2 linked regions of the Elephas maximus indicus genome follow. The protein of the gene in region 1 interacts with the protein of each later gene in a pairwise test. Links are inferred from orthologs where the notes say so. Each region holds a gene or a part of one and is shown on either strand. Other genes may lie near its edges.

Evidence for each region. The genes of interacting proteins can lie anywhere in the genome.
Region 2: the proteins of PNMA1 (region 1) and TNNI1 interact in binary tests that used the Homo sapiens proteins (3 or more experiments, as listed by UniProt). The two-hybrid records come from large-scale screens. The link is inferred for Elephas maximus indicus from reciprocal best matches to the Homo sapiens genes PNMA1 and TNNI1.

The regions. Positions count from the first base shown.
Region 1 is NC_064828.1:86,445,046-86,453,089, forward strand, and holds PNMA1 (paraneoplastic antigen Ma1), read right to left. Parts: upstream 3,038-8,044; 5' UTR 2,276-3,037; coding exon 1,214-2,275; 3' UTR 464-1,213; downstream 1-463. Other genes in the region: MIDEAS (mitotic deacetylase-associated SANT domain protein), read right to left, coding at 7,274-7,520, 7,878-8,044.
Region 2 is NC_064836.1:9,948,939-9,956,025, forward strand, and holds the start of TNNI1 (troponin I, slow skeletal muscle), read right to left. Parts: upstream 3,061-7,087; coding exon 2,976-3,060; intron 1-2,975. UniProt on the Homo sapiens protein: Troponin I is the inhibitory subunit of troponin, the thin filament regulatory complex which confers calcium-sensitivity to striated muscle actomyosin ATPase activity.

The DNA.
Region 1 (8,044 bases):
GTTTTCAAGTCATATTTTCCTTTTTAAGCTCTTGATATAAAATGGCTGCTGTATAATTCCAAGAGTCATTTTACATAGGTATATAATGAGTCATAGTTACTTCTTCAATGAAACAAAAATGTTTAGCTGAAGAGATTTAAAAAGGGATAAAAAGGATTGCCAGATAACCTCCCTAAGGCTCATTTCAGAATTTCCTAATATTTTGTAAGTTACTATTTTACTTAACATGTCTATTTTACCTTCTAATATTTGCCTTGAAGAAAACACGTAAAAACTGAATGCATTAAATTACAATTTAAACCCATAATATGATACAAAGTTTAAAAAGATAGATAGAAATGAGGTTTGATTTTTTTAATGACATGTGGAATGTCCTAAGAAAACAGGATACAGAGCTTACACGGGAAATTTTTATACAAGAAAACTAGAAGACAATAGAATTTTTAAAATATTTTTATTAGTATACATCTATTTGATAGCTTCAAATTTAGAACACTTAGGATTAGCATGACCAAGGAGACCTACTATTGGATAAGGATCTGAAATGGATAACTGTAACAGGTTCGTATCAACCTCCGCATGCGATTTCTGTATCTTGTACAGTGAAAAACTGATTTACACAGCACTATCGAATTACAGTATTTTTCTAATACTCCATGTTGCAGTCTCAGAATACTTTTCAGTTAAACTGATTCAGATGAGAAACAGGAAAATTTGTATTTTGAAGTTGAATAAATATCTAGCAAATTCCTTTCTTTCCATTAAATCAGGAACGATTTACAGTAAACAAAAACTATCCACGGTATCAGTTAACACTAACGGTTTTCACACTTTTACTGAGCATGTTCCTATGAACCAGGCCCTGCACTAAACTTCTGAACATGCAATTTCTCATGTAATTACCTCAATGGCAAGTGTCACAGGTTCACTTGTTTTTCACAACTGACGATGGTGGCACGATGACAGCTTACACTGAGCTCATGTGTCCAAGCCTTTACATGGCATCTCAGCCAGCAGGACGCTATGGTACTGTTGCAGCTCCCGGTGTTCGCTTGCACGATTTTACGAATATTACACAAAGAAGTAGGCCTGACTTCCCCCCCAAGAAACAGAACATGGCTAAGTCTTACTAATCTGAGACACACCTGTACGACACAGACAACGGAACAGCTGTGATCTAGGTCTGCCCTAAAGCCCCTCCGCTTCCCGAGGCTCAGAAGTGCCCTTCCAGGCCTAACTGCAGGAGGGCGGCCTCGGCCTCCTCCTCCTCCTCCTTGGCCTCCTCCTCGCGGATCTGCACCAGCAACTGGAAGAGGTTCGGAGCCGGCCCCTCCGCAGCCCCGGTCAGCCACAGCTGCCTCCGGATGGCCCCGCTGTGGTTGGCCCCCGCAATGACCTGCTCCAGGCGGGCCTGGTTCACGTTATCTTTATCTATGGCCCCCTTCTCCACCACCTTCTGCAGCAGAGGCTCCAGACGGATGACATAAGCAGATAACTTTTCTCCCGGGTTCTGGTAAGTGTTCAGAAACCTGACCTGGGCATCCCGGGAGCTCTCGACGCTCCCAAACACCTGCTCCAGCGCCTTCAGACACTCGGCGGAGGTTATCGCAGGGTTGTTGGTCTTGAGGATGCGAATGACATCGGCGGCGGGGCCTCTGAGGCTCTCCACCAACCGCCGCCTCTTTTCTAGATCGGACACCTGCCACTCCTCCATGACCTCATTAGTGTGCTCCAGCCAGTGATCAAAGGCCTCCTCCCCAGGGCCCGGGATGTCCCTCCCCGAGAACAGCGTCAGCTTCTTGTACCATATGGACTCGACAAGAGGCTGGATAACATTATCCAAAATATAGTTAAGCATCTCTGCCGGCATTTCTGGGCCTGGAGCAGGAGCGGGGTTCTGAAACCCAAGGACTCGGGCGACATCTTGCACTGTCCACCCCTCTCTTGCCAGGAAGAGGTGCAACCTTTCTAAAAATTCAGCATCGGATGTCGGGGGCTTAAAGACCACTTTCCAGACCCCTCCCTTGCCCGGCATCTCCCTGGGTATGTTGGCGTAATCGACAGCGCCAGTGAGCTCTAACAAGGCTGCTTTCGCATTCTCTTCCCTCCAGAACATTCTCCCAAGCACTCGATAGGGCACCTGGGGCATCGCAGCCCGGAGGGTATCTTCGATTTCAGCCTCGTCACAGTTCACTGGGATCCCCCAGACCAGCAGGGCTCTCTGGGAGTTCACATCCATCCCCCTGCACCAGTCTTCCAACAGGGTCATCGCCATCTTCCCACCTATCAAATGGGGCCGGCTCCACAAGTACCGGTTCGATGGTGGCTCACTCTGCAATAGGGCTACGAATGATACCAGAGCCTCCCCCCCCCAAAAGCCCGAGGGAGGCAAGCTTCACGCAGTCACAATTAAGAAACGACACCAGAGTCCTGCTTTCGCCCTTCCTCCCTGCCCCCCAAAGTACTCCCCCTAAGTCGGTCTGCGCGTCCTTGGAGCGAGGCCTCGGGATGCTCAGTCACGCGGCCGCCGCCATCTTGCGTCTCCGGTCGGGGTCCGCGGCCGAGGTCCGTCGCCTACAGACAGGGGGCGAGTCGCAGCACAGACGAGGAGCCGCCGGGCGGGAGACGATGCCGGGGTGCAGTCTTGGGGCGCGGTCGCCTCGGTCCGCACCCGGGAGCTAGCTGCTGCTCCGGGAGTCGACTGGGCGTCCGCGGTCGGAGCGCGGCCTTCAGACCGGGGAGGAGCGGCTGTTTGGCAGACGAGGACTCTGACGCCCCCGGAGGAAGAGGCTGTCCCAAAGTTGTGGAGGCGGCAGCGGCCGATCAGCCCGCGAGGTCAGCCCGCGAGCGGCTACTTCGCGGGCCCGACGACCCCCTCTCGGCGGCAAGGACAACCGAGGGCCGAGGATCGAGGCCCGAAGGCGGAGGCTATACGGACAGGGCAAGCTGGAGAGGAAGAGCGGCCGGAGGGCAGCGCGCGTGCTGTAGCTGTCTCTGGCGGAGCGCAGCAGCCGGCGCGTCCTCCCCGCCGCGAGCCGAGCGTTACTGCCGCAGAGGGCGGGGCCAAGCCTGACAGGCGGCTTCCAGCCCGCCCCGCCCCGCCCCTGCCCTCCGTAGCCATGGCAACGGTGTCCCAGGCGACGCGAAATTCGCGCGCTTTGGCGGCGGGCGGCGTTGAGCAGTTGCCATGGGGCCGGCGAGGGGCTCCTGGCACTGATCTCTCGGATGGTGTATTTCTTTTTTCATATATATATTTTTTTATAATGAAAGAATACTGCTAAAAGAATCTAATTCTGGAGTGGATCTAAGATACTGGTGGAAATGCATCCGTCGTGGCCGACTTGTCTACTCAGGTAGCTCATTCCACCGGTCTATGCTGCGTAGAGAACGCTCACCTCAGCACCCGGCCTCGCTGAGCCACCTGAGCACACTCTCTCTGCACCTCCGTGGTTCAGCCCATTGAAATTGTAATGTGGGAAGTGTGCCATTTATGGTTTTTGAGACGTTGAGTTTAGACTTTGTCCTGTCTAAAATATCGTAAAAGACATTATTTCTACTCAGTCATCTTTGTAGGAAGGCAAACACTAGTATGATATTTCCCCTCTCCTGGCTCCTGGACAATGGGCTGATAAAAATTGAATCCTTACGGTTCAAAAATGTCCAGTGTAATCCCTTGTAAACAAAACAAGGCCTACTGACGTCAATCCCAGATGGTGAAAATCCCCCCAAAAGAACACAACATTCAACTCTGAATTTTTAAAACCTTATTTAATAAAAGGTTTAAAGATACAGAGGGAACATTCAAAAGTAAATAAGTTACATAGGTACATTACAATCACATCAGCAAGATTTTCTTTAGTGTATTAATTTTTTTATAAAAAGCACACAAAAAATAAAATCTTCAGTCTCGTCTATCACAACTGTACAGCAAAAGAGGTAATATTTCTATATATATGTACACTATTTTAATATGTAACAGTCTTTTTAAAAAAGGGTGCCACAGGCAGCAAACACACAAAAGGCAGTGTCTGATCATTTCTCTCAAAATAAAAGGAATATACTTATTTATATGCTATTAAAATATTTGTACAATAATTACAGACTGTCAAGGCTGTTCCTGTGCTCTGTCCCCTCCAACAAGGCCTTCAACTTTAGAGACAAATGAGGAAAAGGTGAAACAGCTGCAAATTGTTAGAGGCAAATATTAACACAGAAAAATGTGGGGAGGACATAGAATTGTTTTATAAAAATATGTATTACTTCCTGTAAACCTAAGGAGTTAGGTTTGCCAGTCTGGTAATAAATACCGACCCAGAAAAGTAAGTCCCAGTGAAAATATATTTAAACAGCTGAGGCTTAAGGATGTGTTGTATTCCTCCTTCATCTTAACATCTGGCACATGAGAAGAAAGAGTTTAGGTCACTGAGGCAGTTAAATATAGACGATCCCTTTAGACATAAGCAGCGCACAACCTCTGTGCCAGGGGAGGCCCTCACTTAGCACAGCAGGAGGTGGGGCAGCAGAAGGGGCAGGTATGTACCTTAGCTGTGAGGGAGGCTGCTGAAGGCATGGAGAACGGTGCGGACAGCACTGTCTCCCTGGGTGGGTAAGAGACCTCAGAAATGGTCTGGAACACAGGCACTAGGTCAGTTTCACGCCCTTAGCTGACTGCAGATGGACCCTGGGAAATGGATGTGATGAGACAGTGTGAGAAGGAGGACATAAAGCTGGAGGTGTTTGTCATTTAACTTCCTAAAGCAAAGAGCTCTGAATAAAAGAAGAAAAAGAGGAACCTAATGCATTCACAGGGAGAAAGCACCATTAAGGATATACTTATGCCAGCTTCTATGGCTGCACCTACCTTATTGGCAGGTCACTCCACAATTGCATCTGCCCTCTGAACAGTTTAATTTTTCACATTGCATTCTAGATATAAATCCATCCTGGAGCATGAACCCTCCTAAAATGCGGTGTCTGGTGGGGTAGGCTGCTGGAGGATTAATACAGACAGGTACCATCTTAATTTTTCCCACCTACATTCACCTGGTCTGGTCTCCATAAGCTTAGGAGAAAAGAATCACTTTCTTATTAAAAAAGATTTCCAAATACTAGAAGCCACCACTGAACAGAAGGGTCTCACGTGCCTGAAGGAGGTTTCTGTTACCACATGTCCATAAAGGGGCCTGAAACAAAATACAGTTTAAGTAGAAAAAACCTTGGGAAACATAAGGAGCACTTTGGGGCGAAGCTTTGAAGGCACTCATATTACACAAATGATTTAAAAGAGAGCCTAAATTTGCTACTCTCCTGCTTCTAGATGGTATACCAGATCTTTGCAATCTCCGGACACTGAGTTTGTAGAAGTCCATGGAGAAAACAAGTAGGAAGTTGGAAATCAGGGTAGTTGTCCAGGAGTCTGGGGGGAGAATAATTTTGTTACTCCTATAGTTGGGGTCCTGCGGAACAACATTAATGCATAAATGAATACTGAAAACTACCTGATAGTGCATAGTTTAAAAACAAAACTCCCTCCCCACTCCTAGTTACCAACATGACGGCTTGAAGCTCTCCTGGGAGGACCAGCAGAAAGAATACTTTTCGGCTCCTTCCTAACACGTTGATTTGTTAGAACTTCTTTTTCACAACTAAAGTTGAGTAACAAGATCAAAAAAATAACTCATCCCTCCTATGGGGCTGGCAAGGGAAGGGGCCTCCAGGGCCTTTCAGCCCTCTCACTTCAGTGACTCCTTGCCAAATTCAGCTTCTTACAGCAGAATCCAGACCTGATAAACTCAACCAGAATTCTGGCCACCTGCCAATCTCCTCAGGCAACTTCAAAGTACAGCCAGGGAAGAGGTAGCAGAGGAAAACTGCCTTTGATCTCCCCTGCTCCTGCTAGTCTCTCCTGCTTGGGTGACACCCTCCACTCTACCCTGTCTCAGTCCTGCTATCATTCCTATTGGCAAGAGCTTTCAGAGCAAAGAGGTGGGGGACCTTAGGGCCTTAGCGAGCGGGGTGCCAAGAAGGTGCCTTGTTTTGGGATAAATGCACTTGGGCCTCTGGAAAGCAGGAGGCCCCTGGTCCCTGAGAGGATGTTAAAAATTAAATATTAAGAATAAATAAATAGCTCCCAAATCACACGAGTCAAGGAATGAAGGCTCCTTTCCAATCTAGTTTGGAGACCTCCCCCTCCCAGGGAAGGATGCAGAAATCTCCAGCGTGCAGGGCTGGGGGCTGGGCTGTGGGTACCAGCACTGGAGGTGGGGGCAGGCAGCTGCTGACAGAGGCAGGCGAGGCGCTGTGCCCACCCAGGTGGAGCAGGCTGGGCTGCTGGGGATCCTCCCTCCTGGCCTCTCCAGAACTGCCTCTAAGCTAAGCCCCCTAAGCAGCTTCCAGAGCCCAAGGTATTTGGCAAAGAGGTGCAAAGCAGGAAGAGCCAGGCTTATCAGAAGCTCCCTCAGACCTAAGGCTGCACACAGCCCTGCAGCTTCCAGCCTCTGCAGTTCCCCTCCCTCCAGAAGGCTGAGAGCTCAGACAGCACTCGGGCCCCTCCCCCCAGCAGGGCTGCTAGCAAGCAGCAAAGGGATAAGTACCTGTCCTCGATCTCTCTCCCATGAGGCATCCTGGTGGCCTCCCTGCAAGGAGGAGGTGGCCTCTCTGAGGACAGGGTCCCTGGAGCAGCTAAGACCTGGATGTTGCTGTGCAGGGGGCAGTCACAGGTGCCAGGCCGAGCCCTCTCTCAGAGACCCTTTTTCCAGGGTTTGGGGCAAGGCCTGGCAGCTTTTGAGGTCCACTGGGGAGGGGAAGTAATGGCTGGATGGGGTGAGCTTGTGCTTGGCTCCCCATGGCCACTTCCTAGAGACCAAGTGGGGGACAAGGAGGCAAAGAGGAAGGAAAGAGGCAGCAGAGGTCAGAGTGTGAGAGGCAGCGGTGGCAGCAGCTAGAGCCCCTTCCAAGGGGCATCCTGAACCCCAGCAGGGACTTCCACGAAAGCATGAGAACAACTTAAGACAGGCCGAATGCAAAGAGAACTGGATTCTGCTGCCCGTTAACACTGCTCCTGGGGCCTTTATAAATAAAAGAGCTGTTTATTTTACTGTGTGATTTTTTCTTTTTTTCCAGAGAAAAAAGTCCATGTGATTCTCTCCTCACACCCTCTTGAGGTTCCAAGGCATTTCCTGGTCTTTCTGCAGGCTGGTGCAGGGAGGGGCAGGGGAGCCCCGGGAGAGGGGGGCCAGCCCCTCGCTCTCCTGGCTGAACCCTCCAGGTCTTCTCAGCCCTCCTCTCCAGCCCCACTCTCCTCCTTCAGGGCCTGCTGGTGCAGGGAGCTCTCTTCTCGCAGAGCCTTCTGGTGGGGGGAGGCCGTGGCAGCAGGAGCAGCAGCGGCGGCGGCGGCAGCAGCGGCGGCGGCGGCGGCGGCAGCAGCCTCTCTCTCCTTCTGTTTCAGAGCTGCGGCCTTCTTCTCCTGCTCTGCGTGGCTCTTCATGTGGGCGCTGCGGCTCTTCACCTTGTAAAACACCCTGTAGCCGGGCAGGAGGGAGCTCAAGTAAGATGTCTGGGCCACCCACTCCCCAAGGGCCCCTAGATTACCCTGTGTGTGAGGGAGAGAGATGGGGGCTCCCATGGAGCCGTCCTGACTTGCTCCGAGTCAGTGGCACACCCTCACAGGCATTGACTCAGGGATGGTTCCTGATTCAGTGCCATCACCCTTCACTTCTAAAAGCTGCCAAATGATATCATTCCCCTAGAAACCCACTAAGCCAATGAGAAAACAAGATGAAATCTCTTACTTCTCCTCACAAGCCCAGCTTCTGCCCTGCCTCCAACTGCCAGCCAACCTGCTAGGTAGCCAGTGGAGACAGAGCCTGTCATCTTACCTGCCACATTTTTTACAAGGGAAAGTGTTCTCTTGATTCTGGGTCTTATTAAATGTCTCTGTTTTTTTCCTCTTCTCCGAAAAAGGTAGTGCCCTCCGTGACTTCCCTGCCCCCTCCCTTGGCTTCTCTGAGGCCGGGCCACCAGCAGACCCAGGGGCATTGGACTC
Region 2 (7,087 bases), on another chromosome or scaffold:
TGTCAGCTGATGTGACCTTTCCTTCCCAGCCCTGCTGAAAGCTACCTCTTCCTGAAGGTCCCACAGATCTCTCCTGCACAGGGTTTTTTTTTTCTCTCTCTCTCTCCCTCCCTCCCCGCCCTCGTAGCCAACAAAGAATGTTTTCTTTTGTGTTTAAACCTTTTCTTGAGTTCTTATAACAGTGGTCTCATACAATATTTGTCCTTTTGCAACTGTTTCATTTCACTCAGCATAATGCCTTCCAGATTCATCCATGTTGTGAAATGTTTCACAGATTCATCATTGTTCTTTATTGTTGTGTAGTATCCCACTGTGTGAATATAAGACAGGCGGCAAAGGCCCTAAGATCGCAGGATGCCTGTTTGAGAAATAGAGAAGACACTGCTATGGTTAGAGGAGAAACAAGAGAAATAGGCTATGCTTTATCAGGGAGGTAATAGGAGGTTGAGTGTGGAACCTAGAGACTTAGTAAGACAGAGAACAGAGAGGCCCCCAAATCTGCAAACAAAATAACAAGAAATAGGCCAGGGCGCAGAAACAAAGTCATTCTCCAGAACAGAGAGGCCGGGTATCTAAAAATAGCCCGCAAACTTCTTTAAAGTTGCATTTCAGAAGCAGCTGGAGAAAACCAGGCCCCCGGGACTTGCACAGAACATCCACCTGTGATCCCTGTGTGACCTTCCACCAGGGGCAGTGAGGGGCTACAGCCCCAGCCAGGTCGAGCCTGGGGAGTGGGAGACTGCGCAGGTGTGACACCCCATAATAAGTCCTGCCCAGAGGCCTCCAGGACAGGAGCCATCTTGGAAAGCTGCATGCGCCTTAGTTAACATACCCCCGCCTGTGTCTCTGAATAAACATGAATCTTTTCCCCTCCCAAGAACTTTTAAAAACTCGCCCGTCGTTTGTTCTGTGAGATGAGAGTAAGCGTTGCTCTAGGCCCTCCTTTGTCTCCATTTGCAAGCCTCTTCAATAAAGCTTTGCTCGTGTGGAAAACTGCTCATTCTTGACCAGTGAGAGGCAAGAACCTTATTCCAGTAACAAATATACAATAATTTGTTTATCCATTCGTGTGCTGATGGGCACCTAGGTTGTTTGCATCTTTTTGCTATTGTGAACAGTGCTGCAATGAACATGGGTGTGCATAAATATATTCATGGGACAGCTCTTATTTCTCTAGGATATATTCCAAACAGCGGGATTGCTGGATCATATGGTACTTTTTTTTTTTGGAGTTTTATTAAAAACTGTTCAACGTGGTCAAAAGTCTCATCTGTTTGACTGAAGTTCAATGGTCCAAACTATGAGAACTTTAGGAGCTTCAAAGCTAAACAAAACATAAAACAAAGAACTGCCACAGGATTTTTTTTGTCAGAGCCACCACCCTCTTGGTTTTGGACATTGCCTCACCTGTCTTTTCAGGTGTGCAGTTTTACCTTCCATCTGAGAAAGCTGTCTCAGGGGCCAGTAATGGGACTTCCATTTCTATCCCCTCAGGATTCAGGATGGTGCCCCCAGACAAACTTCACGGAGCATTGGAATCCCCTGGAGGGCTTGTCATACACAGATGTTGGGCCCCACCCCTGGAGCCCTGGTATCACAGTGGTTACAACACTCGGCTGCTAACCAGGAGTTCAGTGACTGGAACCCACCAGCCTCTCCTAGGAAGAAAGATGTGGCAGTCTGTTTCCATAAAGATTTACAGTCTTTGAAACTCTATGAGGCAGTTCTACTTTGTCGTTTAGGATGAGTCAGAATCAATGGGTTTATGGGCCCCACCCCAGAATGTCTGATTCACAGTCTGGGGCGAAGCCCAGGATTTGCATTTCGACCAAGTTCTCTGGCGTTGCTGCTGGTCCAGGAACCTCTGTAGTTATTGTCGCTGTTAGCTGCCGTCAAGTTGGCCCCGACTCATGGTCACGCACAACAGAAGAAACGCTGCTCAGTCCTGCATCATCCCCCTTGCAGATCAGACCATTGTGGTCCATCAGGTTTTCATTGGCTGATTTTTGGAAGTAGATCACCAGGCCTTTTTTCTTAGTCCATCTTAACCCGGAATTTCCACAGAAACCAGTTCAGCATCATAGCAACACAGAAGCCTCCACTGATGGACAGGTGACAGCTGCACATGAGGCGCGTCGGTTGGGAATTGAACTCAGGTCCCCCTCATGGAAGGTGAGAATTTTACCATTGAACTGCCACTGCCACGTGTATATCAATTAGTATATGGGTTGGCATAACTACAGGCTATCAATTAGAAACAGGTACCCCTCTGGGAGGACACAGCCCTTCAAATAAACAGCTTGACTTCAGTCTGTGCTCACCCCTCAGTAGGTTCCCTTGAGTCGGGCGCACACAGCCCAGCTGAGGCAGGCAGCCTCAGAGCCCAACCTTTCTGAGAAATACCTGCTCTGACTTGTCCACCTACACTGAGCAAAATAAGCTGCCCCTTCTTCTGAAATTGTCCTTGACAAGATAACCGCAGATGGCCTCAACCAGCCTCTGGGTGGAGACTTAACATCCTAATGAAGAAAAAATCATCCCTTCCTCCATCCTGGGGGATCAAACCCTTTGTCTAAAGAAAATCCATAGTCACGCCCAAGCCCTGAGCACCTGCGGGAAGGTCAATCCTGAATATTCATAATGAATTTATATTTCCTTGTCTGCTCTTTGTGAAAGCCCACTTCCCTGGGCTGCCTACAGCAGTCTTAGAGACAACAGCCCGGATTGCTCCTTTCCTTCTACAATGAAGTAAAGGCGTCTTTCTGATCTCCCTCCTTGGCCTCTTGTTTATTGGCTGTAACAAGTCACCAGGGGCAAAACCTGCGATTTTCACCGGCAACACAACCAATAGGTGCCCAGCTATCTGGCCCATCTCCTGCCACTGACCTGCATACATCCCGGCCTCCCAGAGAAAGCTGGAGGTCCCGGAACACCCAGCCTTCCATTCATTCATTCATTTATTCATTCAGCCACACCAGTGGCATCACTGTGGGAGGTGCGGACCACACCCCCTGACACTGTCAGGCGGTGACACCACATTGACCCCAGGGTCCACCGCATGGTCGGCGGCGTCAGGCGGGAGCTGCCAGGGAAGGGGCCACCAAGGCAGTGATGTCACTAGGGTTGATGTCAGCCGTCACCCAGTATGGTAACGCGTCACCACCACCCCACTCCCATCACCCACCAGTCAGGGTGCAGGCTGCCTCCACCTTGGCCAACGGGAGAGGGGAGGAACTGCAGGAGTCACGGGGGGGCGGGGCCGGGAGGGGCGGGGGCACGCAGGGCAGTCTTTGGCCCTGCCATGGGGGAGGTGACACCATCAGTTACTACACTGGGTGACATCAACCCTAGTGATGCCACTAAGCCACACCTTATGGAGGCTCCCTGTGTCCCCAGCACTGTCCCAGGTCCTGGGGGATACAATAGTGAACTTGGAAATGTGGCTGCCAGGCCTGGTGGATGGCCTGGGGCACCTGGACACAGCTCTCAAATTTCCCAATGCTCTCTTTGCTTCCTCACTGTTGGTTCTGCCACGTAGCAGATGGTGAGGGACAGAAATGACTTCGTCAAAGGGATGAACTTGGTCCCAGGGCTAAGAGAGAAGGGTGAGTCAGTGGGGACAGAATCCCAGCCTGCTATCCTTCCCTGGTGCCAAATCGGTATCCCCTGCCCGGCTTCCCGGGCATGAGACGCGTGTGCAGGGCTGCCTGTTCAACACTGTCGCTCAGGCATCTACAAGCCCCCACCCCTCACTGGTCCCAACTGAACCCAGAGTCCACCTCTCCAGTGGGCTCCTCATTCTCTTCTCTGCATCATAAAAAATGGCACAGCCACCACCCTCAGCCAAACTGGAAATCCAGGGCCATCCCCCTCCGCTCCCCCCTCACTCGGGAGGTCAGCTGAAGGCCAACTTCAGTCCTGCTCCCCTCAGGGGTCTCCCTGGTCTGCCCTCCTCCACCGACCCAGCCACCATCTCTGCTCAGACCACTCACGTTTAGCTGCTCTCACCAACATCTACAGGAGGGTCACCCTCCCCACTGAACCACCTTTCTAAAATGAGAACATGATTAGGTCACTCCCCTAGGTCGCCCATTTTCTTTCCTGATTCCACTCCTCCCCCAACCCAGCCTCCACACTCCCCTGACTCCAGCCACACTGACTTGCTCACAGTCCCAGAGCAGCAGAGGCTTCTCAGAAGGCCCTCCCCGCCCACCATATCGCAGGTTAGCTGCCTCCTGCCTCCTCCAAGTCTTACCGGAGCACTCACTCCTCCAGGAAGCCTGCCCTGACCACCTGGCTGAATTAAGTGCCCCTCCACCAGCCTCCACAGCCCTGGTGCTTCCCTCTTTTCTTCTACGTAATACACGATAGCAAAGTCAACTATTTTCTAATCTGGGAGAAACTCATGTGCTGTATCCTCAGTGCCTAGCACAGTGCCTGACACATAGTAGGTGTCCAATAAAATTTTCATTGAATAAACAAATGAACATCAAGGAGAAGAATCTTCTGATCAGAGGCAGTGCAGAAAATTGCCCCTCACAACTTAGAAGGGGTTCTTTCTCCTCGTTGTTGTCGTTCGGTGCCGTCGAGTTGGTTTCAACTCATAGCGACCCTATAGGACAGAGTAGAACTGCCCCGTAGGGTTTCCAAGGAGCAGTCAACCGTATTTCTCCTTGGGGCTCTGAAATACAGTGGGGGAGCTCATGGTGAAGGACACAGGGGTTGGAAAGCCACCTAGTTCAAGTTCTTGGCATCTACAGTGTCCGGGCACCAGCTCCCCTGCCCCCCCCACACCCAGGGAGGAGCAGCCACAGCCACTAGCCGACCTTGACATAGGTGATGAACCACTCTCCCCCCCAACAATGTGTTCAGACATATATAGAAACAACTGGGCAGCTGGCTTTTGTTGATGTTAATCTTAGCCCCTCAGAGGTCATGATGGACTATGACCACCCCTTCCAATCCCTGCCCAGGCTTGGCCTAGAATGTCAGACGGAAGCAGGAGCCAACACAGCCCTGCCTTTGTTTCTGGTAAACACTATACCGCTGCCCCTCCTCCCCTCCCCCACCTCCAAGCCCCATACCTCCACCAACTCTAGGCCCTCTTTCTTCACCTCTCTCACATTCCTGCCTCCACCCCATAACTGTTTTTCAGAAGCTTTTTTTTTTGCGGGGGGGTGGAATTGACCAATCAGGATGCCAAATGCCATTCCTTTCACACTCTGGCCAGGATGTAGTCTCCAGAGCTCGGCTGATATTATGTATCTCACAAAGCTATTGTAATGATTACCCAACGAAAAACCAAACCCACTGCCATCTGACTCAGAGCGACCCCATGGGACAGAGCAATATCAATGGATTTTAATGTAACAGTATGAAAACTTCATCCATATGGTTTCAGATTCTGCATTGCAAGTTGTTGTTGGGTGCCATCAAGTCAAGAACTGACCCATAGGGTTTTCTAGGCTGTAATCTTTATGGGAGTAAATCGCCTGGTCTTTCTCCCATGGAGCCATCGTGTGGGCTTGAACCACCAACCTTTCAGTTGGCAGCCGAACTCTTAGCCATTGTGCCACCAGACAAGTTTTGGTATAGTACCCAAGAAGGATACCCACAATTATCTGAAAAGGCTATTGAAATACTCCTCCTTTTCCAACTGCACACCTGTGTGAGGCTGGGAATTTTTTCATACACCTCAAAGGAAACGCATTACAACAGATTGACCAAAGAAGCAGGTATGAAAGTGCAGCTGCTGTTTATTAAGACAGACATTAAAAACATTTGCAAAAGTATAAAACAATGTCCCTCTTGTCACTAGGTATTTTTGTTTGTAAAATATAGTTATTTTGACAAAAACGTGTCATTTATGTTAACATGTAAAATGAGGTGAGTATCGTAATTATTAAATGAATTCATAAGTTTTTTTTTTTCAGCTTTCTCAGCTTTAATTTGTAGTATGTTAAATACTGACAGATATAACCCACTGAACTATGGTTTGGTTTTAAGATGACCGCAGGGAATATTTTTGGTTTAAAGTTTAAAGATTATCTCAGAGCAATAGTTTTAGGGGTTCATCCACTCGCCATGGCTCCAGAAATTCTAGAGTCCGTGAGAATTTGAAATTCTGGTCTGCATTTTCCCCCTTTTGATAAGGATTCTTTATGGAATCTTTGATCAAAATGCTCAGTAATGGTAGCCAGGCACCATCCAATTCTGGTATCTTGGCAAAAGGGGCAATTGTTCAAGGAGACAATTAGCCACACATTTCATATCCTCCTTCCATTCCTGACTCTCCCTCTTCCTCTGTTGCTTCAGGTGAATAGAGAACAATTGTGCCTTGGATGTCTGCTTGCGAGCTTTTAAGATCTCAGACACAACACAGTGAAGTAGGAGGTAGGTCAGAAGCACTAGGCACGTTATCAGGCCAATTAACTGGAATGCTCCAGGAAACCATGCCCTTGAGCCTCCAAGCCAAGGAACCAAATCCAGTGAGGTGTTTGCTTGTACCTAAGCGGCCTCAGCAGCTACTCTTTTTTTTTTTTTTTTTGCCATTGTTGTAAATATCTCTATCGCATAATTTTTACCAATTCAACTTTTTACAAGTGTACAATTTATTGACAGCAATTACGATAACCAGCTGCGCAACCCTACCCTGAATCAATACTATTTTTCCACCACCGTTAACACCCCTTTTCCACCCTACCTCTGCCCCTGGAAACCACTAATAAACTTTGATCTCCATACAGTTGCTTTTTCTTGTTTTTTTTTTTTAATATATAAGTGAGGTCATATAATATTTGTCCTTTTGTGTTTGGCTTATTTCTCTCAGCATAATGTCTTCAAAGTCCATTCATATTGTAGTGTGTACCAAGACTTCATTTCTCCTGCTGGCTGAGTGGTATCCCACATTTTGTTTATCCATTCATCTGTTAATGAGGGTTTAGGTTGTTTCCACATTAGTGTACAAGTCTCTTTTTGAGTCTCTGCTTTCAAGTCTACGAGTGGAATTGCTGGGTCGTATGATAGTTCTGTTGTTCGTTTTTTGAGAAACTGCCACACTCTTTTCCACAACGGCTGTACCATTTTG